Linked DNA regions of Oryctolagus cuniculus. The protein of the gene in region 3 purifies or fractionates together with the protein of the main gene of each other region. This does not show direct contact. Links are inferred from orthologs where the notes say so. Each region holds a gene or a part of one and is shown on either strand. Other genes may lie near its edges.

What was found. Proteins that work in one complex are often made in the same cells at the same time.
Region 1: the proteins of EXOC6 (region 3) and EXOC1 purify together in Homo sapiens (affinity purification with mass spectrometry; 4 studies listed by BioGRID and IntAct, counting the BioPlex papers as one, with this or other methods). This does not show direct contact. The link is inferred for Oryctolagus cuniculus from reciprocal best matches to the Homo sapiens genes EXOC6 and EXOC1.
Region 2: the proteins of EXOC6 (region 3) and EXOC3 purify together in Homo sapiens (affinity purification with mass spectrometry; 6 studies listed by BioGRID and IntAct, counting the BioPlex papers as one, with this or other methods). This does not show direct contact. The link is inferred for Oryctolagus cuniculus from reciprocal best matches to the Homo sapiens genes EXOC6 and EXOC3.
Region 4: the proteins of EXOC6 (region 3) and EXOC7 purify together in Homo sapiens (affinity purification with mass spectrometry; 4 studies listed by BioGRID and IntAct, counting the BioPlex papers as one, with this or other methods). This does not show direct contact. The link is inferred for Oryctolagus cuniculus from reciprocal best matches to the Homo sapiens genes EXOC6 and EXOC7.

Annotation. Positions count from the first base shown.
Region 1 is NC_091439.1:108,597,587-108,603,792, reverse strand, and holds part of EXOC1 (exocyst complex component 1), read left to right. Parts: intron 1-2,169; coding exon 2,170-2,214; intron 2,215-3,416; coding exon 3,417-3,580; intron 3,581-4,113; coding exon 4,114-4,221; intron 4,222-6,206.
Region 2 is NC_091445.1:97,391,360-97,397,090, reverse strand, and holds the end of EXOC3 (exocyst complex component 3), read left to right. Parts: intron 1-1,901; coding exon 1,902-2,063; intron 2,064-2,436; coding exon 2,437-2,564; intron 2,565-3,287; coding exon 3,288-3,459; 3' UTR 3,460-3,536; downstream 3,537-5,731. UniProt on the Homo sapiens protein: Component of the exocyst complex involved in the docking of exocytic vesicles with fusion sites on the plasma membrane.
Region 3 is NC_091446.1:37,857,433-37,864,224, reverse strand, and holds the start of EXOC6 (exocyst complex component 6), read left to right. Parts: upstream 1-2,446; 5' UTR 2,447-2,526; coding exon 2,527-2,588; intron 2,589-6,792. UniProt on the Homo sapiens protein: Component of the exocyst complex involved in the docking of exocytic vesicles with fusion sites on the plasma membrane.
Region 4 is NC_091448.1:4,604,817-4,611,022, forward strand, and holds the end of EXOC7 (exocyst complex component 7), read left to right. Parts: intron 1-610; coding exon 611-649; intron 650-1,269; coding exon 1,270-1,335; intron 1,336-1,557; coding exon 1,558-1,678; intron 1,679-2,350; coding exon 2,351-2,446; intron 2,447-2,930; exon of another isoform or gene 2,931-3,027; coding exon 3,028-3,091; intron 3,092-3,301; coding exon 3,302-3,343; intron 3,344-3,455; coding exon 3,456-3,589; intron 3,590-3,751; coding exon 3,752-3,854; 3' UTR 3,855-4,521; downstream 4,522-6,206. Other genes in the region: ligand-gated cation channel ZACN, read right to left, coding at 4,680-4,870, 5,229-5,393, 5,497-5,707, 5,786-5,910. UniProt on the Homo sapiens protein: Component of the exocyst complex involved in the docking of exocytic vesicles with fusion sites on the plasma membrane.

The sequences.
Region 1 (6,206 bases), on a different chromosome or scaffold from region 3:
AGGTAAATACAGATGACTTGAGAAGTTCCATATAAGGTGGAATGTAAATTTTTTCAAAGATATTTTTTCAGCAATTCAAATTGTTTTTAATAGTAATAATTAAAATAAAAACTGAAATTTTAGAAAGATAACTTCTTAGGAAATAAAAATTAAGTAATTAAATTTATTTTGTTTTTTACTTGCTCTGAAAAATCCTCGCTTCCAGATGCTTATAAGATTAGTCAGATTGACTGCCTCTCGCAAAGGGGAACTGTGTGGCCAAACATGCAGTCATTGAGGGTATAATCCTCTGAGGGGTATAATCCTCTGTTTTTCAACAACTCTTGACTCAAATCTTTAACATCTACTTAGTTCAAATGATTCAAAATGTAGTGTGCTAACAATGCCAGGAAATCATCTTTGTGAGAAGATCTTTATGTTGATTATTGTGTTTTTTGGTGGATTTGCTTTGATGGCCCCAGAGATATAGAAACGACCCACCCCAGCCCGACCCGGGATTGCTGTTTTGATGTTTTTTCCTTTGTATTCCACAAATGTGCATAATGAGATGGCAGAAAAAGAAAATTTAGTAATTATTTTAAAATCACCATTTTCTTCTTTGTACAGTTAAGATAATAAACATGTTAATATGAGATTTTAGCCTCTTGATATATACCTTTACATAATTGCTGCTTTCCCTCCTGTTTGTCTAAGATTTCAGAAATCTTTAAAATGGTGGGCCAAAATCATGTTATCATCATTTCTCCACTAAACTAAGAAATCTGGCTGATTCCAAAGGGAGTCTTGAATGCAAGGTAGAATTCAGGGCTGGCTGGACGATTGCCTCCGTCAATGTTTGCCGGTCATCTACTAGTTATCTGTCACGTGATAGGCACTGTTGTAGTACGGGGAATGCAGCAGTGAGCACAGCCCTTGCCCTCTATGAAGCTGATGCTCAGATAGGGGTACATAAAGACATTTGACATCTTTCCTGTGTATTTTCACTTGCTGCTGATAAAAGACATAAGCTTTTCATGAGCCCCAAATCATAGTTAACTGGCATTATGACTAGCTCTGTGTTCTTGTTTGGCCACTGAAGAAATGAGGCTTGTATGAAAGAATGTGTCAGGCTGTGCAGTGAAACTGATCAACATAAATCCGTGACACCACAAGCCACCAGAAAGTGTTCTGCTGTGCTCCCTCCAGAATGATCGTGTTTGCCATGTTGGCCCCTTTAATGTCCAGCCTCTCATGTGCCCCTCAGGCAGCCAAGGCCAGGAAGATACGCTCATCACTGCTTTGTCAAGGGCCCGACGTGTCGTCCGGCTTTTGCCTTGAAGTTTGGCAAGGATAGTGTCAGTTGACACATCACCCTGGTTTTAAGATGTCTTTAGATTATAGTTACATGCTTCAATTTTGTTTCATTCTATGATTTCTTTCTTCGCTTTTCACATTAACTTCTAATTTGAGTTTAGAATGTGTCTTAAGGTGAATTCTAAAATTGATCTAATAAATATTGTATATATAGAAGTCTTAAGATAAAAGAAATGCTAAATGACCCTAAGAGAGTTGAAATTCCTGTATTAAATCTGTTCCATTAGCTTTACTCTTCTATCCATCCATCCTCTGGTTGTTAACATGATAGTTTTAATTTTAAAATGGTCTTAAAGCCCCAGTTGTGTCATTTTTAATCGGATGTTATATAAAATCATTTAGTGTAATAGAACTTCCTTGCAGGGGCTTTCAGGGAATACCAGTTTGTTAATGTCTAAATCTATAATAACTTCATTCCAATAAGTTTCCTTTGAATTAAATTATTTAACCGATGTTTTCTCAGAAAACCCAAACTTTCAAATTCATTCTTTTAAATGTAAGTGAAACAGCTTCACATACTTTTAAAAAAAAAAAGTCATCTAAAAATATGGGAGAGAGGGCAACAAATATATTTTCCCTGAATATTTGAGTAAAAGCAGTACATTAAAAGACCAATGAAGCGTTTTCTCTCATACAGTTTCTCAAACAGTAGTGACCAACTCAGCGTGTGTTTGTACCTCTCCTTACCTGATGCTCATGGTTCTTTGCATGTGTCTTTTAAACTAGAGCTTTAACTTCCTCTTGTGCATGGTTTGTGCGAATTGCAGTTTATTAACTTGTCTTTGTCTTTGATGCTTGCAACCTAATCCATCACAGCTACACTGCCTCGAAAAGAAAGTGCTGGCAAACAGGAAACAGAGAGTGAGTATGCTTAGTGTATTAGTAGGTGTTCTCCATGCATGTCTGTTTACTGTCTAGAAATTAGTTACTTGTCTTGAAAGAAGTTAACCCCAGAAACATCAGTTGCTCTGAATTGCCAGGTATTGGTGAAAAGTCAACAACAATGTGATGGTAGTGATACGGCTACATCCGAGAAATGTGCAGTATTGGTACAAGTATACGACCAGTAGAACTGTGTGTCAGAAGCTCACGAAAAGGCTTAATCATTATACTTCTGTTTTCAGGCTGTGTCTAGAAATTATAAAATGTCTTATATATATGGTCAGATCTTGCATAATAAAGCCAAAATTTGTCTCAAGTCCTTATTAGTCTTCATTTGAACCTTCTGACCACTAGTAAATGGTATGTTAACTGACAAATATTCAAGAAAAATGTTTTAAAACTATTTCATGTATTGTTGTTACTTCATTTTGAATAAAGCAATCACATTTTCTTCTAAAAATTTAATCCTTTAATTCCTTGGTGTACATGGGGTATTGTCCAGCTCTGTGTTCTCATTTTTCCTGCTTAAACACCAGTGCCCGGGCTGATGGGTAGTGACGTGTACATGGCATTTCCACTGTATTTGAAGTATAGCAGGTTTTCAGGCTGCCCTTTTCTCTTCATGTTATTTAGTTTTAAAAGAGCTATGGTTAATTCACTTACTGGAAATGCAGAGGTTCTGGGTTTAGGAACATATTAAATCAAATCATATATAATTGACTTTTTTGTATAGAGCAAAATGATCAAGTATTGATAGACTTGTTGTTTTGACACAGAGGCAAGTAACACTGGGATATGGGATTTTTAGTGGCAGGTAGAGCAGTCATGTTAGTAGGTTTCCATGGTGCTCCGTGCCCATCAGCTGTATTTCTGTCTTCTGACTGGGAAGGAAACCCTCCCGCCTTCAGTCTAGAGATACCACCACGCACCTTTACGGTGGGGCAGAGATACATGGTCTGTAGAGGCCCTTTCAGTGCCATTCTGTGGATCTGTGTAGTTTTGTCCTTTACAGAATGCTCAGCAGTAGGACACAGAGTTAATGAAAGGTAAGTACACAGTACAGCCTGTCCCATATGGTGGCCTTGTGCACTGGAACACCAAAACAGTGGAAGATAGCACTGAATTTTACTCTGGATCGTTTATTCCTGGAGATTACGACTTTCAGTCTTATTATCTCTTAGGTCTTCATGGAAGTTCCGGGAAGTTAACTGGATCTACTTCTAGTCTAAATAAACTCAGCGTTCAGAGTTCAGGGAATCGCAGATCTCAGTCATCATCTCTGTTGGATATGGGGAACATGTCTGCCTCTGACCTCGATGTTGCTGACAGAACCAAGTTTGATAAGGTAAAGTAGAGCAACAAGTGGTTTTTAAACATTAGCGTCAGTTTTCTTATAACTGCATTTTGTGATTGCTTCAGTATTTGAAAATTTTGGTGCTTTTGGCTGCCTTTAATAATCATGTCTTACTTGCAAATTCTGAAGCAAATCTTTAAAAAAAAGTACTAGTCACATGGCAGCTAAAATGTGAAGTATCAATTCAGTAACAAAAGCCTTATTAACCTGTATTTGTGGTAAATCATAAAGTGCTTATATCTCATCTAAATTCTTTGAGCAACTATGAATCAAGAGGATATAATAGCTTTTCTGTTCTCTGTGTTATAAATAAGTTTTAAAAGTATATCTGCATATCCTTCTTTCCAGATCTGAAGTGAATGTAACTGTTTTACTTTAGGTATGTCCTGTAATCTTGTTATTTTGTCAATTTTGGAAGTTTGTCTTTGGAGTTCTATTAAGTTTATAGATCCATGGATAGAGGTTACTGATATTAAGCATTTGCTACAGTTCTTTCATTACAGGATCATTTTGGTTTTCTTCAGATCTTTGAACAGGTACTCAGTGAACTGGAGCCCCTGTGTTTGGCCGAACAGGATTTCATAAGTAAATTTTTCAAACTGCAGCAACATCAGAGTATACCTGGAGCTATGGTATGACTCCCATTTATTTCAGCTAATATTTATGATCTTCAGCATAATTAGTCTGATTAATATGTACTCACAAGTTCGACGTTAATAGAAAAGGAAAGGAAAGGATTTACAATGTAAGCGTCATTAAAACAATTCTTGTCATATCACAAAATAATAAAAACAGTGATAGTTGGAGTTGGGGCATACTTTAATATTCCGGAATATCTTAAGTCTAATCATTTGCTCAACTATGGGGTGGGAGGAGTGTCTCATTTTGCTTTGTGAAAAGGTTGGTTACAAGCTATTTTAGGGGGACATTCACCTAGCGGTTAAGTCGCTGCTTAGAACACCTGCATCCCATATCAGAGCACCTGATTTGAGTCCCAAGTACTTGGTTTCCAATCCAGTTCCTGCTGATGTGCACCCTGGGAAGCAGCAGGTGATGGTTCAAGAATTGGGGCCCCTACCACCCACATGGGAGACCCACCCAAATGGCGTTCAAAGCTCCTGGCTGTGACTTAGCGGTTGTGGGCACTTGGGAGTAAATCAGCAGATGGAAGACCTCTGTCTGCTTCTCTGTGTCTCTGCCTTTAGTTTTTAAAGATTTATTTTATTTATTTGAAAGACAGAGGTAGAAACAGAGAGAGGTCTTCTATCCGTTGGTTCACTCCCCGAATGACCATGATGGCCAGAGCTGAGCCCATCTGAAGCCAGGAGCCAGGAACTTCTTCCGGGTCTTCCAGGTGGGTGCAGGGGCCCAAGGACTTGGGCTATCCTTCATTGCTTTCCCAGGCACATTATCAGGGAGCTAGATCAGAAATGGAAAAGCCAGTACTTGAACCAGCGCCCACATGGGATGCTGGCAGTGTAGGCCAGGGCTTTAACCCACTGCACCACAGTGCTGGATCCCAAGTACAGTTTTGTAAAAAGCTGATATTTGAGTATAAACATTATGGTGTAACAAACAAACAAGGTGAGACCTTTCTTATGAATCTGGGTCTCTCTTCTGGCTTTGATACTACCATGCCTTTCAGATGGCATCAGTGTAAGAGAGAAAAATAAAAGATTTTCTAGATGATTTTGAAGAACTTAAAAAAGAACACAGATTAAGGTCATCTCCATTAAGGGCATCGGCTGGCACTATGGTACAGTGGGTTAAGCCACTGCTTGCATCACCAGCATCCCTTATTGGAGTGCTAATTCAAGTCTTGGCTGCTCCACTTCCAGTCCAGCTTCCTGCTAATGCATCTGGGAAGGCAGCAGAAGATAATCCAAGTGCGTAGGCGCCTCACACCCATGTGGGAGACCAGGATGGAGTTCCTGACTCCTGGTTTCAGCCTGGCCAGACCTGGCTTATTATAGCCATTTGGGGAGTGAACCAGCCGATGGAAGATCTCTCCCAGTCTCTCCCTCTTTCAATGTCTGTCTGCCTTTCAAATAATTAAATAATTTTTTTAAAGATTGGTTTACATGAAAGACAGTTACAGAGAGGCAGAGGCAGAGAGAGAAAGAGGTCTTAGATCCACTGGTTCACTCCTCAAATGGCTACCATAGCCGGAGCTGAGCCGATCCAAAGCCAGGAGTCAGGAGCTTCTTCAGGTTTCCCACATAGATGCAGGGGCTCAAGGATTTGGGCCATCTTCCACTGCTTTCCCAGGTCATAGCAGAGAGCTGGATTGGAAGAGGAACAGCCGGGTCTCAAACCAGCACCCATGTGGGATGCCAGCACTGCAGGTGGTAGCTTTACCCACTATGCCACAGTGCCGGCCCCAAGTAAATATAAATCTTTTTTTTGAATATTTATTTATTTATTTGGATGAGTTACACAGAGAGAGAAGGAGAGGCAGAAAGTCTCTTCCATCCACTGGTTCACTCCCCAGTTGGCTGCAATAGCCAGAGCTGTGCCAATCCAAAGCCAGGAACCAGGGCCTTCTTCCAGGTCTCCCATGCAGGTGCAGAGGCCCAAGCACTTGGGCCATCTTCTACTGCTTTCCCAGGCCAGAGCA
Region 2 (5,731 bases), on a different chromosome or scaffold from region 3:
GGTTGTGGCCAGAGGCCGACTTCCTGGCCGTCCCCCATCCCTGGTCCTCGGCCCTCTCCCAGCTGAGGCCGGGCGGTGGGCTTGGGGAGTCTGCCCTGCATCCAGAGGGGTTGGGCCAGGCTGCGCACCCCCAGCATCGAGCGAAGGCCCCTCCCCCATCAGCATCTTGTTCCGCAGTCACCCCCTCTCCCTACTGGGTTCACCTGGAGCCCTCTATCCTGAGCTCCGTCACAGTCCCGCATTTGTGCTGGGCCATCTGGGTTTGTAGTCTCTTGTAGGTTGGGGTCCTGGTTGGCTCTGAGTCGCATCTTGCTCCTCCTGCTTGTGTGTCTCTGTCCTGGGCTGGCCCCCGTCCCAGAATTCCTGTCTAGAGTCCTGGCCTGGTGTCTCAGGGCGTGACTTTACAGAGGACTGTGTGGGTGGTGCTGGGCTCTGGTGTCCGTGTGAGAAGAGGAGGTTAGGGTGCAGACGTGCACAGGGCCCTCAGGACACAGGGAGAGGACAGCGTCTGCACACCTAGGAGAGGCCTTGGTAGGGGCCAGCCCTGCCCACCCCTGGGTCTTGGATTCCACCTGCACAGTGTGGCACAGGTCTCTGCCACGGAGCCCTGGTCTGCGTCCTTTTTCATGGCAGCTGAGTGGACCGAGACAGCTTCTAGCATAGCTTCCCCTGAGGAACGACACCCTTGATTTTAGTGGAGTCAAATTCACCCCATTTTTTACGGTCCTATCGGTGTGTCTTGGGGAATCTTCCTTCCCCAGGAGCCTGAAGATTAAGCCGACTGCCGGGATGACCTGGCCTGAATCAGAGCCCTGCTTCCGTTAGTTCACGTCTCAACAATCGTGTTTCTCTTCCTGAAAACTATGGTTGTTTAATTTTAGGCTTACCTGGTCAGTTTTGTATCTTTTTGCTTTTGTATTTTGGACCTTCCGTATCTGGACACTAGATGCGTTGACTGGTGTCTGGGCCGCTTCTGTCTTGCGCTATGCTGTCCGTTGAGATGGGGTTTGAGCTCATGTTGGACAGGGGATTCTGGGAGCTAAGGGAAGGGTGCCTCTTCCGGCTGCCAGCAGCTGCCGGTGCTGTCGGTCTTCTTCAGGGCCCTGGGGTCTCCTTGCTTTGCTATGAAGCCGCACCCTCAGGACAGCGGTTGGCGTGGGTCTCAGTTCATGTCAGGGCAGCCTTCTCACGCTTGCTCAGGCCACAACAGAGTGGACGCAGCTGGGATCCCAATGTGATGTCAGCTGTCACATTGTCGATCCACAGTTGAGGGACGGCTGACCAACACCTGTGTGTCCCGATGGGCTCAGTCATGCCCACTTGTGTTCCTGCGCCGCCTTCCTGGCCTTCCCCCTTGGCTTCTCCTCTGGAAACCTCCCCAGTACTCGGGCTTGGGGCTCCTCTTCCCCCAGAGGTCCTGCCAGTGCTTGAGGTGTGGCTGTCATCAACCCCAAAGAACAGCAGGCTCGTGCCCCTGCACACACCTCTGTCCTGTCAAGCCCCACACCGTCCAGCCGCTCTGCCGAGGGGTCATAGCTCAGAGACAGTTGCGGGGCGGGGGGCTGAGGAGGGGGTCAGGAGACCTGAAGCAGGTTTCATAAAGCTGGTGCTGGGCTGGCGTGCATGGCAGCTTTCTCGTGCCCATAACGATGACGTCAAACCTGGGCTCTTTGTTCTGAGCATCGGCGTCCACACGCTGGGTACCCTGGAGGTCTCCCCGCTCAGCCCTGGGCCTCTGTGCTTGCAGTGACCCCGTTAGAGGTGTCCACGGGTTGGTAACAAAACTGCCGCTGTGCTTATTTGGCATAGTGGTACTCACACTACACCGGCCCGCGGTGGCGCCCAGGAGCAGGCGGGACAGCTGGCCGGCTGGGCGTCCGGCTGACTGTGCTTCCCTGCAGAGGATGACGGCGGAGGCGCACCGGCGCGTGGTGGTGGAGTACCTGCGGGCCGTCATGCAGAAGCGGATCTCCTTCCGCAGCCCCGAGGAGCGCAAAGAGGGCGCTGAGAAGATGGTGAGGGAGGCGGAGCAGCTGCGTTTCCTGTTCCGGAAGCTGGCTTCTGTGAGTGTCGGGAGTGACCCAGGTGGTCTGGGTTCAGATCCTGCCCAGCCCTGTGGTTGGAGAGTGACTGAATTACCTCAGGGGCCCTGCTCTTTGAGTGCCTTCCCCGACCCCCCCTCCTGCCCCCCACCCCGTCCCATCTTGTTTCTGTGCCAGGCTGGTCACGAACCTCTGACCTGACTGAAGCCAGGCACAGGTGTGACAGGCACCCCTCACCCCAGCCCCCGGCCCTGCAAGGAAAGCCCTGGCTCTCGGGTGGATCGTGAGGGATTTTCACACAAGAGGAAGGTGCGGTGCTGGCCAGAACAGCACCTGCACCTGCAGCTGGGCTGATGGAGCTGAGGCCACTCTCCGGGTCCCCGCTGCTGTCCAGGGGTTCGGTGAGGACGTGGATGGACATTGTGACACCATCGTGGCCGTTGCTGAAGTGATCAAGCTGACTGACCCGTCCCTGCTCTACTTGGAGGTGTCGACCCTGGTCAGCAAGTACCCCGACATCAGGTACGCGCGGCACGGCGCCTGCCGGAGCACGTGCACCACCTCCTGGCTCTCGGGATCCAGAGGTGAAGGCTGGGCCTGCTGGTGGAGGGGGCTGGCAAAGGCACAGCAGACCAAGTTTTGGGGCCGGCTGAGCAGGCCCCTGCTGCGTCCTGCTGGCAGGACCCTTGGCCCAGGTCCACACACCTGCATGTGGCTCAGCCACGCCAGCCTGAGTGGGCAGAAGCTATGGGCGTGTCACAGCAGCATGGGCCATGGGAGTGGGCTGAGCCAGTGACTGTAGGAACCTCGTGTGGGTCTCATGCCATGCTATTCCCATGGACACAATATTCAGAGTCCCCAGTGTCAGGCTAAGGGAGTGGGCAGGTCCACGCCCCCGCCCATGGACCGAGCCTTTGTGATCCTGTCCCAGGCACCTGTTGCCTTCCCAAGGGGCCATGTTGTGTTGTGGAGCTCAGTGGGTACCTCCAAGGCCTCAGCTTCTTCTCTTACTGCTACGCTCTGCGAGGTGGGAAGAGCCAGGATCCTGGGTCCTCTGGGATCTCCGTTTTACACTGGCAGCTTTTAAACCGAGACTTGGAGAAGCAGCATTCGAAAGCTGTCTGCCATGGAGGTGGGGAGGAGCACAGTGGGGGACGGGCGCCTGCTGCTCACAGCTGTCCACACCACCCGTGGGGGCCGGAGACGGTGAGGGGCACGTGTGGGCTGACATCTTCTCCCCTACAGAGATGACCACATTGGCGCTCTCCTGGCCATGCGGGGGGACGCTAGCCGAGACATGAAGCAGACCATCATAGAAACGCTGGAGCAGGGCCCCACGCAGGCCAACCCCAACTACGTGCCCATCTTCAAGGAGATCATGGTGCCCAGCCTGAACGTGGCAAAGCTCCTCAAGTAGCCACGTGGGTCGCCAGCCTGCCACTCAGCACCTTCTCGCCCACACCCTCAGAAACGCATTAAAAGCAAAGTTACACTACAGATCCATGTTTGCTGGTGTCAGTTTCACAGGCCTCTTCTGAGCGTCGGGCGTGGAGAGTGTGTCCTGGTGGCTGTGAGGCCACACAGTTGTCCCCTTTTGCTTTCCAAGACTGTGAACACAGTGCTGCTGGGAGTGTGCACGAGGTGCAGGGTGGGACTGCATCCAGCTCTGGGTCTCACACTCCCCCGAGACGCACACTCTGGTCTCACACCCTCCTGTGATACACCGTGTGGGTCTCACACCTGCCTGGGTCACATACTCTGTCACACACCCACCTGAGACATGCACTCTGTGTCACACACACACTCTGTGTCTCACACCCACCTGAGACATGCACTCTGTGTCACACACACACTCTGTGTCTCACACCCACCTGAGACATGCACTCTGTGTCACACACACTCTGTCTCACACCCACCTGAGACATGCACTCTGTGTCACACACACTCTGTGTCTCATACTCTCCTGAGACACACACTCTGTGTCTCACACACTCTGTGTCACACACCCGCCGGGGACGTGCACTCTGGGTCTCACACCTGCCTGTATCACACACACTGGGTCTCATGCCCTCCTGAGACGCACACTCTGTGTCGCACACTCTGGTCTCACACTCACCTGAGATGCACACTCTGTGTCTCACACCCGTCTGGGACATGCACTCTGGAACTCTGGCCCCCAGTTGGCACCTCAGCTCCTCGGTGAAGGTGGAGCAAGGCTGTGTCTCACTGTGATGTTCTCTGGGGTTGCTGCAGCGTCAGATCTGTTTCCGGCCACCAGCTGGCCATGCAGCCTGGCCAGCATGCAGGGCACCCATTGCACCTCAGCTTGTCCTGCAGATGACAGACTCACCTCCCCGGCACCCCTGAAGACGAGCACGGTGCTGGTGCTTTCGAGAGTGTAAATTTTGATAAAAGTGTATGTGGGATGCGTTTTAGGACTTGTAGATTTGCTTATTCCTTTTTTATTGTAAAGACTGGTTGATTGATTTGAAAGGCAGAACATCAGAGAGTGAGGATGAGACAGCGAGCTCGTCCCTTGGTTTACTCCCCAAATGGCTGCAGCAGCCAGGGCTGGACCAGGATGAAGCCAGGAGTCAGGAACTCCATCCTGGTCTCCTCCATGAGTGTAAGGGCCCATGCACCTGGGCCATCATCCGCCCCCTTCCCAGGTGCATCGGCTGGAAGCTGGGTCAGAAGCCAAGAAGCTCTGATGTGGCATCCTGGCCACCGGTGAACCTGCTGCACAAAAACCCAGCCCTAAATTCTGCTTATTCTTGACACGGAATCCCTTAGTCACCATCACCGAGCTGCCCCGTGCATCTGCCTTTGGTCTGGTGGCGGCGTGCATGTGTCTTCACTGAGCTCAGTAAGAAACTGTGTCCAAGCCGGCACCGTGGCTCAATAGGCTAATCCTCCACCTTGCGGCGCCGGCATACCGGGTTCTAGTCCCGGTTGGGGCGCCGGATTCTGTCCAGGTTGCCCCTCTTCCAGGCCAGCTCTCTGCTGTGGCCAGGGAGTGCAGTGGAGGATGGCCCAGGTGCTTGGGCCCTGCACCCCATGGGAGACCAGGAAAAGCACCTGGATCCTGGCTCCTGCCTTCGGATCAGCACGGTGCGCCGGCTGCAGTGGCAGCCATTGGAGGGTGAACCAACGGCAAAGGAAGACCTTTCTCTCTCTGTCTCTGTCCACTCTGCCTGTCAAAAATTAAAAAAAAAAAAAGAAACTGTGTCCAGAGTGAAGTGGGTCCCTGCCAGCCCCTGGTCCTGCCATCACTGCAGGTGTGTGCTCTGCTGGGTAAGCGCTGTGTGGGTTCCCCTGTGCCCGGCGGCCAGCCCTCTGTCCTTGCATCAAAGCCCAGAGCACGCTGCTGCTGTGTGGGCCCGGGTCCGCACTTTAAACATGACTGAGTGTGCATTCACCGTTCTTCCGTCTTCATTGAAGAAGGGAAAAGTCACAAATAGGACTTTTTCTTAAAATAATCAAAACCTGAATAGAATTAACTAACTAAAAATTAGATGCAGGGTTGGTTTTTTTGACTTACTGAAAAGGCAGGGTTACAGAGATAGAGGGAAAGGGAGAGAGATCGGCCACCTGCTGGTTCACTCCCCAGACGGCCCCAGCAGCCGGGGCTGAGCCAGGCTAAGATCAGGGGCTCAAGTGCTTGGGCCGCCCTCAGCTGTTTTCCGAGC
Region 3 (6,792 bases):
TTATTTACTTGAAAGTCAGAGTTACAGCAAGAAAGGGAGGGGCCGAGAGAGAGGAGAGAGATCTTCCATCTGCTGTTTCACTGTCCAAATGGCTGCAGTGACCAGGGCAGGACCAGGCTGAAGCCAGTAGTCAGGAGCTTTTTCCAGGTCTTCCATGTGGGTGCAGGTGCCCAAGCTCTTAGTCCATCTTCTGCTGCTTTCCCAGGCATGTTGGCAGGGAGGTGGATTGGAAGCAGAGCAGCTGGGACTCAAACCAGTGTCCATTTGGGATGCCGGCACTGAAGACAGCGACTTATCCTGCTGTGCCACAGCGCCGGCCCCAGAAAGAACTTTTTAAGGAATCAAGGCAAAATTCACATAACATAAAATGAACAATTTAAAAATATGCAATGAAGTGGCATTTAGAAAATTGATAGTATTGTGCAACTGTCACCTTTATCTAGTCCAAAAACATTTTCATCACCTCACAGTCATAAGCAGTCACTCCTTGTTTCCCCTTCATCCTGCCCCCTGCTAACCACTAACCTGCATTTGTCTCTGTAGATTTGCCCGTTTCATATAAATGGAATCTTATAGTATGTGACCTTCTGTGTATGACTTCTTTCTTGTGGCATAACATTTTTGAAGTTGTTGCTCACTATTAAAAATGCCACAGCAAAGTGTAAGTTAAGAAAAAGATTTTCTAGGGGCTGGCGCTGTGGTGCAGCAGGTTAACAACATGGCCTGAAGCACTGGCATCCTATATGGGCACTGGTTCGGGACCTGGCTGCTCCACTTCCAATCCAGCTCTCTGCTGTGGCTTGAAAAAGCAGTACAAGATGACCCAAGTCCTTGGGCCCCTGCACTCATGTGGGAGACCTGGAAGAGGCCCCTGATTCCTGGCTTTGGATCAGCGCAGCTTCAGTGGATGGAAGACCTCTTTCTCTCTCTCTCTCTCTTTTTCTGCCCCTCTCTCTGTGTAACCCTGACTTTCAAATAAATAAATAAATCTTAAAAAAAAGAAAAAGATATTCTGTAATCCCACCCACCATTGATGACAGCTGTTTATAGTCTGATGAGAGTTGCTATCCCCATTGTCTCCCTATAAATAAATTTATACTACTCACATCTTTTGCCTCAACTTTTTTAAAATTTAATACTAATATGAAACATCTTTCCATGTCAAAGCAGACAGATCTCTTCATTCTATTTAATGGATTATATATTGTTTCATTATTTGGTTATTATCTGGGTTGTTCAATAAACCTTTAGATGGATATTCTCTCCCCATGCCCATTTTTTGCTAAGTAAAATAGTTTGCATCCTAGCCTGCTCAATGGGAGTTACTTTGAAATCATAATACTGGAAAACCTAGGAACAGCTCCAGTTTTTCTGCAATCAGTTGAGTACACTGGGAAATTCATGCAGCAAAGCTGAATAGACTTTGAGGTTGTTTCTACTGTCAGATTCTTTGATCCTTGGGATTAATATTAAAACCATGGCAGTGCTAAGGACATAGAGGGTCCCTAGGACTGAATTACCAGTCCTGACTTTAGCTCTCATTTTATTAAAGACTAGCTCTAGGCCTTTGGAAAGGTACTTACCTCTGGACTTCGGTCTCCTCTTTTGTGAACTGAGGTAAATGGCTAGATGGTCACAGGTGTGGAGGAGGACTTCAGTTGGGATCATTGCCCAGTTTACAGTGATTCCCTTTCTGGACAAACAGCTCAGATTCACAAGCTTGAGAATCTCCAAGTAGCCAGGTTGTGTTATGAGACTTTCTTCACTCAACCGTATCTGATTGATCCTATAGAAGCCATTTGTCAACCCCATCAAAATACTTCTCTAGGATTTTTGAATTTGAACCACAGAAAGTATGAGCAGTTCCTCTTTGTGGGAGCGTTTGAGAAGTGAAACTTGATAGCCATTGGCACCACTATTATCTTCAGTGAGGTTCTACTGTGGGGAAGAAAAGAATGGGATTCCCTGTGCTATGGATTAGTGAGAAAGTATCCACCTGAAAACTGGGCAACTTCTAAATGCAATAGGGTATCCTGGATTGTATGTAGAAACAAAAAAGCATTAGTGCTAAGTTGATAATTCAAGCGTAAGGGTTAATTTTATCTGTCAACTTGATTGGTCAGAGGGGTGCCCAGATACTTGGTTAAACTCTGTAGTGTGTGTGTGGGGGGTGGTGGTAGTGGTATGTGTGTGTTTCTGAAGAGATGAACATTTGCCTTGATTGTCCTTCCCAGTGTGGCAGGACCTCATCCAATTGAAGGCTGGAATAACACAAAACGTAGAGGAAGGGATAATTTGCTCTCTGTACCTGGTGGTCTTGGGCTGGAATTTTGGTCTTCTCTTTTCTTCATATTTGTTCTTAGCTAGAATTGACACCGTTGACTGCCCTGTGTCTCCAGCTTGCCAGTTGTCAATCTTGAGACTTCTCTTATTCTATCCAATGCAGAAAAGCAGTGGACATTGCTGTAACATTATAAAGCAAACAGAAAACCTGCAGCTACGCGCAAAGGATTACAGTTGAGACACATGAATACAATGGACTACCAAAGCATAGGAAGAAATGCAGGCGAGAGACTTTCTTCAGAAAAGTAAGGCATTCAAAACAGCCCATGTATCCTGGGGAATTTAGAAAGCCACACCCATGGAGCCAGTGTTGTGCTGGAGTGGGTTAAGCAGCTACATACAGTGCTGGCATCCCTTATGGGTACGGGTTGATTCAAGTCGCAGATGCTCTACTTCCTGCTAATGCGCCTCAGGGGACAAAGCAGAGGATGGCTCAAATGCTTGGCTTCCTGCCAACCACGTAGGAGACCTGAAGAAAGCTCCTGGCTCCTGTTGGGGCCATTTGAGAAGTGAACCAGGGGATGGAAGATCTCTCTCTGTGTGTCTCTCCCTCTCTCTCTGTAATTCTGCTTTTCAATTAAAGAAAGAAAAAAAGGCACACACACACCTAAGGTAGGATACTTGCTCAGAAAGGTCCTCCGAAGACTCTTTTTCCTATGGGTCACTTCCAAACATATAAACAGCACATGGGGCTAATGTAGAGTCATAGGAATTCTGGTGGAGTATTAAAGGAGTGTCTCAACTCAGCCAGCTGGCAAAGAGTGAGAAAGGTGTTTGTATGTTTGTTTGTTTTAGCTTCCAGCATCAAGGAAATCTCTTTCGAAATCCTAGCTGAATGTAGCTAAAGAAACTGGAACCATACATGGCAAGGAAAATAGTCTTTGGAAAAATGGTTTAGAAAATTCACGAAACATGGCCGGCACCGCGGCTCACTAGGCTAATCCTCTGCCTTGTGGCGCCGGCACACTGGGTTCTAGTCCCAGTCGGGGCGCCGGATTCTGTCCCGGTTGCCCCTTTTCCAGGCCAGCTCTCTGTTGTGGCCAGGGAGTGCAGTGGAGGATGGCCCAAGTGCTTGGGCCCTGCACCGCATGGGAGACCAGGAGAAGCACCTGGCTCCTGCCATCGGATCAGCATGGTGCACCGGCCATTGGAGGGTGAATCAGCGGCAAAGGAAGACCTTTCTCTCTGTGTCTCTCTCTCACTGTCCATTCTGCCTGTCAATAAAATAAAATAAAGAAAGTTCACTAAACAAATGGACACCTGTAACCTTCACCAATTAGGAATGGTAAATTCTGAAAAAAGAGAAGAATCTGATTTTCAGAGCTACCATATTATACTATTCAAATATTCAGTTTTAACAAAATCACAAAACATACGAAGAAACAGAATAGTATGGCCTATCAAGGTGATCAACATGTACATTTTGGGAGTCCTGGAAGGAGAAGAGAGTGAGAGCTGCATGGAGAGATTACGTGAAGAAGTATGACTAAAAGCTTCCCAAATTCGATGAAAGGCATGAATCTGTACATCCAAAAATTTCGACTCTAACTACAGTAAACTCACAGAAATATACAAGACACGTTATAATCAAACTGTTGAAAGACAATGAAAAGAGAATCTTAACAGCAGCAAGGGAAGAAACTTGTCACGTGCAAGGGAATCTCAAGATTAACAGCCAGTTTCTCATCAGAGACCGTGAAGGCCAGAAGGCATGAAAGGACAAAGTACTAAAAGAAAAAGAAAACAAAACTATGGCCTAAGAATTCTATATATTATGGGGATATAGATATCTAACTTATGTTCTGTCCTTCAAAAATGGAGAAAGACATTCCAGATAAAGAGAGATCTTGTTAATATGGAACTTCGCTGTAAGAAGTGTTAGAGGGGGCGGTGCTGTGGCGTAGCAGGTAAAGCTGCCGCCTGCGGTGCTGGCATCCCATATGGGCTCTAGTTTGAGTCCCAGCTGCTCCAATTCTGATCCAGCTATGGCCTTGGAAAGCAGTGGAAGATGGCCCTAGTGCTTGGGCCCCTGTACCCATGTGTGAGACCCAGAAGAATCCTCTGATTCTGACAGAACTGATCAGCTCAGTTCTGTCCATTGCAGCCATTTGGGGAGTGAACAGCAGATGGAAGACTTCTCTTTCTTTGCCTCTGCCTCTCTGTAATTCTACCTTTCAAATAAATAAAGTAAATCTTTTGGAAAAAAAAAAAAACCAACATTAATGTATTTTTTATTTGCAAGTATACTTTTTGTTTCCAGTGTGCTCCAAAAGATAAATGCAAAAGAATAACGAATCTGTGTTGTTGACACACAAAGTGAAAAATTTTAACTGTATGATGATGTGATTGAAAACTATCATTTTTATTAAAAAAACCTGTATGTGTATACTTGTATGTGTATATGTGTACATAATATGTGATATAAAATTAATACACACACATGCCCATATGGGCATAGAATATCTTTGGTAAGGTACAGAAGGAAGCTGATAAATTGTTTCTCTTATAATTATGAGGACAGGGTAGACATAATCTCACCAATTAATTCTTGTTCTTCACCACAAATCTGCCTTTTCTTTCACTTCTCCATTTCCACAAAGGCACTATCACTTATCCAGTTCTGTCAGCAAGATGGGAATCAGGCTTGTTCTTTCTCTTTTATTCACCTCCCATTAAGTAAATCACCAAATTCTGCTGATCTGACCTCCCAAACATCTCACCCTAGTCTATTTCATTGCAGAAGAGGCTGACTGTCCCCTAAGATTCATTGTTCCTTTCCTCCTTACTCACAGGACTCCTAATTTTTGGCAGGAACTGTAGTAACCTAGAATAGCCATTTTATTCCCTAACTTCCCTTGCAACCAGATGGGGCCATGTGACTACATTCTATCCAAGCAGCTGTGACTTGACTTCTCATTCTCCTGTCCATTATCATATCGAATATCATTTGCTTGCTTGACATTCTGTGCAACTGGCATTTTCTTTTTATGAATTATGCGGCCAAAGGTTTTTAAGGTCATGTTTACAGGTTCCTAACCAGATGAATCATATCAAAGATTCTGTTCATTGACCATTTTTTTCTCCATCCATTTTTATATTTTAGAATTCTGATTGCTGTTTTTGTAAAGATAATGCAGATTCACTGTGAAGGTGCCAGAAAAGGAGGAGATAATGGTAGCTTAGGACAAGGAAAAGAAATAAAAATTAGCAAAATCACCCGCAATGCTACCATTAACCCTTGTTATAAGAGAACATTGCTCGACGGCGCCACGGCTCACTAGGCTAATCCTCCGCCTTGCAGCGCCGGCACACCGGGTTCTAGTCCCAGTCGGGGCACCGGATTCTGTCCCGGTTGCCCCTCTTCCAGGCCAGCTCTCTGCTGTGGCCAGGGAGTGCAGTGGAGGATGGCCCAAGTACTTGGGCCCTGACCCCATGGGAGACCAGGATAAGTACCTGGCTCCTGGCTTTGGATCAGCGTGGTGCGCCGGCCGCAGCGCGCCGGCCGTGGCGGCCATTGGAGGATGAACCAACGGCAAAAGGAAGACCTTTCTCTCTGTCTCTCTCTCTCACTGTCCACTCTGCCTGTCAAAAAAAAAACCAAAAAACAAAAAACAAAAAAACAACATTGCTCAATTTCAGGCATGGAAAGCCAAGACATTGTGGAATAAAAATAAAATGTCCTACATGAAGGATCCTGTGAGAGAGACCCCAGTGGAAAGAAGTGGCCATCAAAGGATGTACTTTTCTCTGAAGGGAGGAGAGAGCCTCTACTTTGCTTATGGCCTTGTCTAAATGCTGATGGAGATTGTGGATTCAAAAGGCTTCCATAGCCTACGCAGCTCATGTCAAGAGCCTCAGGTGGTCACTGATGTCATACATATGTGTGTTAATTGTTAAATTAACAACAGGAGTCACTGTGCACTAATTACCCATGCAGGACCTCTGTTCTCAGTGAGTTGTATTATGAGAATTAATTGTAAAACTTGTTCTAAAACAGTTTTTTGTGGGGGTGTGTGTGTGCAAATTGTTGAAATCTTTACTTAGTGTGGAGTTGGTCTTCTGTGTATAAAGTTAATTGAAAATGAATCTTAATGGAGAATGAGACTGGGAATGGGAGAGGGAGGAGAAGGGGGGGTGGGAGTAGGGGTGGGATGGCAGATATGGTGAGAAGAATCACTAGATTCCATCTTGTACTGCTTTCCCAGGCCATAGCAGAAAGCTGGATTGGAAGTGGAGCAGCTGGGTCTCGAACCGGCGCACATATGGGATGCCAGCGCTTCAAGCTAGGGTGTTAACCCACTGCACCACAGCACCAGCTCCACTTTTTATTTTATATTTTTTAAAGATTTGTTTTTATTTATTTGAAAGGCAGAATGACAGAGAGGGAGACAGAGAGATTGATTAGATGTCTTCCATCTGCTGGTTCATTTCCCCACATGGCTGCAATAG
Region 4 (6,206 bases), on a different chromosome or scaffold from region 3:
AGGAAACTCCTCCAGCCTGTGGCCTGGGTCTGAGAGTGGCCTGTGGAGGCCCCAGCCCGGAGGCCATCCAAGGCTGAGTGTCCACAGCGAGGCTGGCTTGTGCCCTTGGTGAACAGACTCCCAGCCCCAGCCTCACCCCTGTGGCCGTCTTCAGCCTGGGGTGGGCACTGGTGGCTTCAAGGAGCCTCTCCAGTCTGCCTGTCCTCCTGGTCAGTCTTGTACAGCTGACCCTCCACGGGCTGGCTCCTCGGGGCCAGCTGGGTGTCCCCCCTCAGGCCACCACCCTGGAACCCTGGAACTGGAGTTTGGGAGGGCAGCGTGTCAGGGGAAACACCTCTCTGGGGCATTCCAAACTTTGAGCTCTCCTGACCCCCTCTGGGGACAAGGAGCCAAGGGGGCACCTCCCGCCATGGCTCTCCCAGGCCTGCTTTCCAGCATGTTCCCTGGCCTTCAGCGGGCCCAGCCTGGCGTGTCGTGCTGTCTGTCGGCTGTCGTGGGGAGAAGTTTTCTGACGCAGGATCGCGGGCCGCGTCTCTAACCTGTTTTTGCACTTGCATCTTTCTCCCTGCTGTCTCTCGCTCTGTCCCCTGTGTGCACTGCCTCTCCGTAGTTCTTGGGGACACATACAATATTCCTTTAGACCCCCGAGGTAAGCAGTGCGGCTCCGCAGCCTGGGGACTGACTCTGAGGACCTGTTGCGGGTGGGGGTGCACTCAGCTCCCTGTGTGCTGTCTCCGAGCCTACCCAGGCCGTAGCCTGCTGCCCCTGGCGCCCTGCAGCTGCCCTTCACCCTAGCAGCCCTTCCCTATGCCTCCCGCCCCCTTGGCCTCCCAGTCTGTCGGGGCAGCAGAAGGGCCTGGCAGAGGGCATTGTGGGAAATGTGGGGAGAAGCTGGAGGAGCTGTGGGAAGCCCATTCTAAGGCTTAGTTGTTGGCCGGTGGGAAAAGGGGGCTTTGTCGATCCCACCCAGCAGGGGTCACGGCTGGGGGCTGTCCTGCCAGCCTTCCCACACAGGACCAGCTCCTTAACCACACCGTGCATCGTGGCAGAGGGGAGGCCCTGGGTCCCAGGAGTCCCGGCACAGTGCTTCCTGGGGCTGGGGGCGGCCCTGGAGCTCAGGCGCCCCGCTCTGCTGGGACGCCTCTGGGTTCTGTCTGCCCAGGGAAACCCAAGGGACTTGCCCAGCACTCCCAGGGTGCTCCTTGGGCTGAGGGAGGGCCCTCGAGGGTCTCGGCCACCGCCCCACTAACAGGGCTTCTCCTCCCCCAGAGACCAGCTCGTCTGCCACCAGCTACAGCTCCGAATTCAGCAGGCGGCTGCTGAGCACCTACGTCTGTGAGTTCTCCCCAGAGCCCGCCCTCCTGGCCTCTGCCTGGCCTCTGGTGCGCTCCTGAGCCCCCGACCTTTGCAGTGGCCACCTGTGCTCCGGTCAGAGACCAGGGGAAGCTGGGCAAGGGCTCTCGAGGCCCCTGGAGTCTGGAGTCAGGAGGCGCAAGGGAAGATGGGTAAGGCTTGGTTGGGGAGTCCTGAGACCGTGGCCCTTCCTCCTCCACGCAGGTAAAGTCCTGGGCAACCTGCAGCTGAACCTGCTGAGCAAGTCCAAGGTGTACGAGGACCCGGCTCTGAGTGCCATCTTCCTGCACAACAACTACAACTACATCCTAAAGTCCCTGGAGAAGTGGGTGCCGCGGGGCGGTCTGCCTCTCACTGCCCGGTCTCCCCGTCTCCCAGGGGCGGGTCCCCCAGGGGCAGTCTGCCTCTCACTGCCCGGTCTCCCAGGGGCGGGTCCCCCAGCGGAGGTCTGCCTCTCTCCGCCCTGTCCCCCAGGTTGGGGCTGCCTCTCACTGCCGGGTCTCCCCATCTCCCAGGGGCGGGTCTGCGTGCTTACCATCCAGTCCCCCAGGGGAGGTCTGCCTCTCTCCGTCCTGTCCCCCAGGTTGGGGCTGCCTCTCACTGCCCGGTCTCCCCATCTCCCAGGGGCAGGTCCCCCAGAGGCGGGGCTGCCTCTCACCACCTGGTCTCCCTGTCTCCCAGGGGCGGGTCTGCGCACTTACCACCCGGTCCCCCAGGTTGGGTCTGCCTCTCACTGCCTGGTCTTCCAGGGGCGGGTCCCCCAGGTTGGGGCTGCCTCTCCGCCCTGTCCCCCAGGTTGGGTCTGCCTCTCTCCGCCCGGTCTCCCCATCTCCCAGGGGCAGGTCTCCCAGGGCCGGCCTCTGGCGTGAGGTGGGGAGGGGCTTGACTCGCCTCCGCCCTGATGCGCCGCGTGAGGGCTGCTGCCCAGAGCTCTGGGAGATGGAGCAGCACGCCGAGGCCGGCCGCCTCTGTCCTCCGCTCTTCCCCACCCTGCCAGGTCCGAGCTGATGCAGCTGGTGGCCGTGACCCAGAAGACCGCCGAGCGCTCCTACCGCGAGCACATCCAGCAGCAGATCCAGATCTACCAGCGCAGGTGCAGCCCCGGCCCGGCGCCCCCTCCCTTCTCAGGCCTGGGGTGCTGGGCACTGCTCCTCCGTGACCCCAGCCCTCTGCCTGGAATCACACCACTGATCCCTGCTGCCGGCCCCCGCGGCTGGCCCCTCAGATGGTGGTCGAGGCTCAGCCGAGGTGAAGAACTGACAGAGATGCGGGTCAGGCCTGGCCCCGGAGGCAGCAAGGTGGCAGGAGCCCTTGAGCCTGGCCAGGCCTGGCGCGCTCCCTGGTCCTCTGGCCTCTTTCCTCCGGTGGTCTGTTTCTTCCGATTCTCTGTCTTGATTGGCCATGACTTCCATGGGCGGCCCAGGGATGGCGTTTTTTCCATCTGTTGATGGCTGGGGGTGTCCTGCATTTGACTTTTTAGAATGAGCAGCTAAAACACTTTCTGTTCCCGAGGGAAAGATCTCGGTTATTCCGCTTAGTGGTGACCCAGATCAGTTCACCGCCCCCTCCCCAAATAGATCGAGGGATTCAGAACAAAAACAAGCAGCCCTGGCGCTCGGGACGAGGCAGCCCTGTGGTCCGCGCTGTCCTCACGCTTCTCTCCCTGTCTGGCAGTTGGATAAAGGTGATCGATTACATCGCAGACAAGAATCTACCTGTGCTCCAGCCAGGAGTCAAGGTGGGCAGAGGCCTGGGCTGGGCAGGAACGTGGAGCTTTTTGTCCCGTCTCTGGGGAGAAACAGCCGTGCGCCCCGCAGATCACAGAGCAAGGGTGCCTGTGGCCGTGGGCAGCGGGAGAGAGGGCGGGGCCCGGGGGTCTGGCAAGGAGCAGAGCAGGGCGGCCTTGCTCTGAGCCAAGCCTCCTCTGCCGTCTCTCCCGGCTCCCCAGCTCCGCGACAAGGAGCGGCAGATGATCAAGGAGCGTTTTAAGGTGAGTCGGGGGTCCTCTCCCTCTCGCGGCGGCTGCTGCTGCACAGGCCCGAGCAGCACGGGCCCAAGCGTTGCCTCTGCACGTCTCTCCTTTCCCCGTCGGCGGTGGCCAGGGCTTCAACGACGGCCTTGAAGAGCTGTGCAAGATCCAGAAGGCCTGGGCTATCCCAGACACAGAGCAGAGGGACAAGATCCGCCAGGCGCAGAAAGACATGGTCAAGGAGACCTACGGGGTCTTTCTGCACAGGTGAGCCCCGCCCCGCCGGGCTCTGTGCTCCCCCTTCCTCAGGGAGTGGTGTCCTGGGCCGTGGGACAGTACGCAGGGGTGCCCCATCACAGTGCCTTGGGCTGTGGGTGGAGCTGGGGCGGGTGTAGGCCCCTCCGCTCCCTGACCCCGGCACCTGCTCAGGTACGGCAGCGTGCCCTTCACCAAGAACATCGAGAAGTACATCAAGTACCGCGTGGATCAGGTGGGCGACATGATCGATCGCCTCTTTGACACCTCCGCCTGAGCCTGCCACGCCCTGCCTGGTGTCATTGGACAGATAAACCAGTGTTCACTTGACTCGGGGCAGGGTGAGTCTGAAGTCCTTTGGGACAGACACCTCCCTCCCTGCCCCAGACGGGAGCTCGTCACTGCGCCCTCTAAGCCCTGATTTCCGCTTCTGTGAGGCCCAAACCAGCCCTCGCCCAGAACGCTGGGTCCCTTCACGCTCGAGTTCTGTGATCCCCACCGGAGCGCGCAAGGACCACGTGATGGCTTCTGACACAGGAAAGGGGCGAGAAGAGGGGCCCCAGCTGCCTGTGTGTTCCCAGGGCAGGAGCTCAGAGCCCTCCTGGCCTGGTCAGAGCTGGTGACAAACTCCCCCTGCAGCCCAGAAGTAGGGGCAGGGCTCAGAGGACCGGGCACCCTGGAGAGAGAGCAGTCGGGCCGCCCAGCTGTCTTGGATTTGGCGCAGGCCTCCCGTCCTGAGGCCTGGAGACGTTCCACCTCCCAGGGCTGCTCACTGTCCCTCCCCTCGGGGCCAGCGCACTGCCAGAAGCATCCAGAGCTGCCGCCCAGGGCCCAGCGTGTGGGCTGAGTGGTGGGCAGTGGTGAGAAGTTCAGCAGTCACGGGGGGTCGAGGGCACAAGGGCCCCGCCTGCTCGGGCTGGGAGTAAACCGCTGAGTGGAATGAAGACAGAGCCTCGCGCCGCACGTGCACTGGGGGGCGGGTTTATTTCACACTACTTGTATGCTAACACGGGGGAGCTCAGGGTGGACGGGGTCCTCCAGGGTCCTCCTCCCCTCTCTCCAGAGAGCTTCCCCCGGCCTCAGGAACCCACCCCGCGTCCTGCTAGAAGCTGGGCTGCCCGCCGTGGGGGACGGCCATCCCGGGGGGTGGGTCAGACTCGCACGTTGCCCAGATCCAGATGGCAGCAAAGATGAGCTGGCTGCACAGCGCGCTGGCCACGTACGCGAAGAAGAAGATGCGGTCGGCCGCCTCGGCCCAGCTTCTCCCTGACCCCTTTCCTCCTCCGGGGGCGCCTGTGGGGAGAGGCAGGGGCAGGAGCTGCTGTTCAGAGCCCCACAGCACAGAGCATGCGCGTGTTCTCCCTCAGAGTCGCGACTTCTCACAGCCTGGGGCTGGCCCGTTCTAGCCCCCGCCCGCCCCCCCCCCCCCCCCCCCCGCAGCTGAGGACCCCCCTCTGAGAGTCTGCGAGGCACGGCTGACCTCAGGGCTTGAGGTCACCCTTAGGGAGGCTAAGGCGACTCCCTGCTCCGGGCCTGCTCTAACCGGGGGGGGGGGGGGACCAGGGACGGCAGAGCCAGCGGAGTGAACGCAGGGAGCCGCTGGACACACCGCGGACCCGAGCCCCGGCCCCACTGCTCACCAGCCACCCACCTTCAGGACCAGGCCCTGGGTTCCCACGCTCCCGTGGTGGCCCTGCTGGGGCGGGGCTGGGGCAGGGCTGGGCCCTGAGGTTGCCCCTGGCCAGCAGCCCGGCGAGCAGCACGGTCTCCGCGGTGCTGACGAAGAGCAGCAGCAGCAGGACGGTGAAGTAGTGAGCTGGAGGTGGCGGGGGCAGGATGTCAGGGGCCAGGCCCGGCCTCCCGGCTCCCAGGCTCCCGGGGAGCAGCCGGGCGAGGCCCCGAGGCTGGGGGGGGCTTACTGAGCAGTGGGTTGCAGGAGGACGAGCTGGGCAGGCCCTGCACCAGGGAGGAGTGGAAGACCAGGTAGCTCAGCAGCAGTGTCACCTTGTAGGTGCCGCGCTCGAAGGCCTGCAGGGGCAGCAGCCCCCCGCACACGTCCGCCAGCAGCAGGGCCTCCCCGGGGACTATCAGCGCGATGATGGACTTGAGCGCCGTGTTCTTCAGGCTCAGCTGGAAGGAAGCCGGAGGATGTGGGGGACTGTGTGCCCCCAGCCCCGCCTCTGCCGGCCTCTCCCCGACGGGACTCACCGTCAGCTGGAAGCAGGGCACCAGCTGCTGGGGCAGGGCCCGCGTCTTCACGTCGCTGACCACGTATTCCCGCTTGATGCTGACGATCTCATTCCTGGCGTGGGCCTGGAACTCCAGCTCCCTCACTGAAAGGGGGGGGGGGGGGGGAGAAGGGCAAACTAGCAAAGAGCCACCCTGCCCGAATCGCTCTTGGGGTAGAAGCAGGACAGCGGAGACCAGGGGTGACGGAGACTCCTGGTGACTTCGGAGGGGCAGGCTGGGGGCGAGACCGGTCCGCAGGAGGCCTTACAAGGGCAGCGCCGCGGCTCCTCCCCCGGCAGAGGGAGGGCCTGCCTTGCCAGATTCAAAGGTGGGGGCTTTCGTCGTGAAATGAAATGCACTCCGCTCCCCTTCACGCAGGGGAAGTGGCCACAGACCCGTG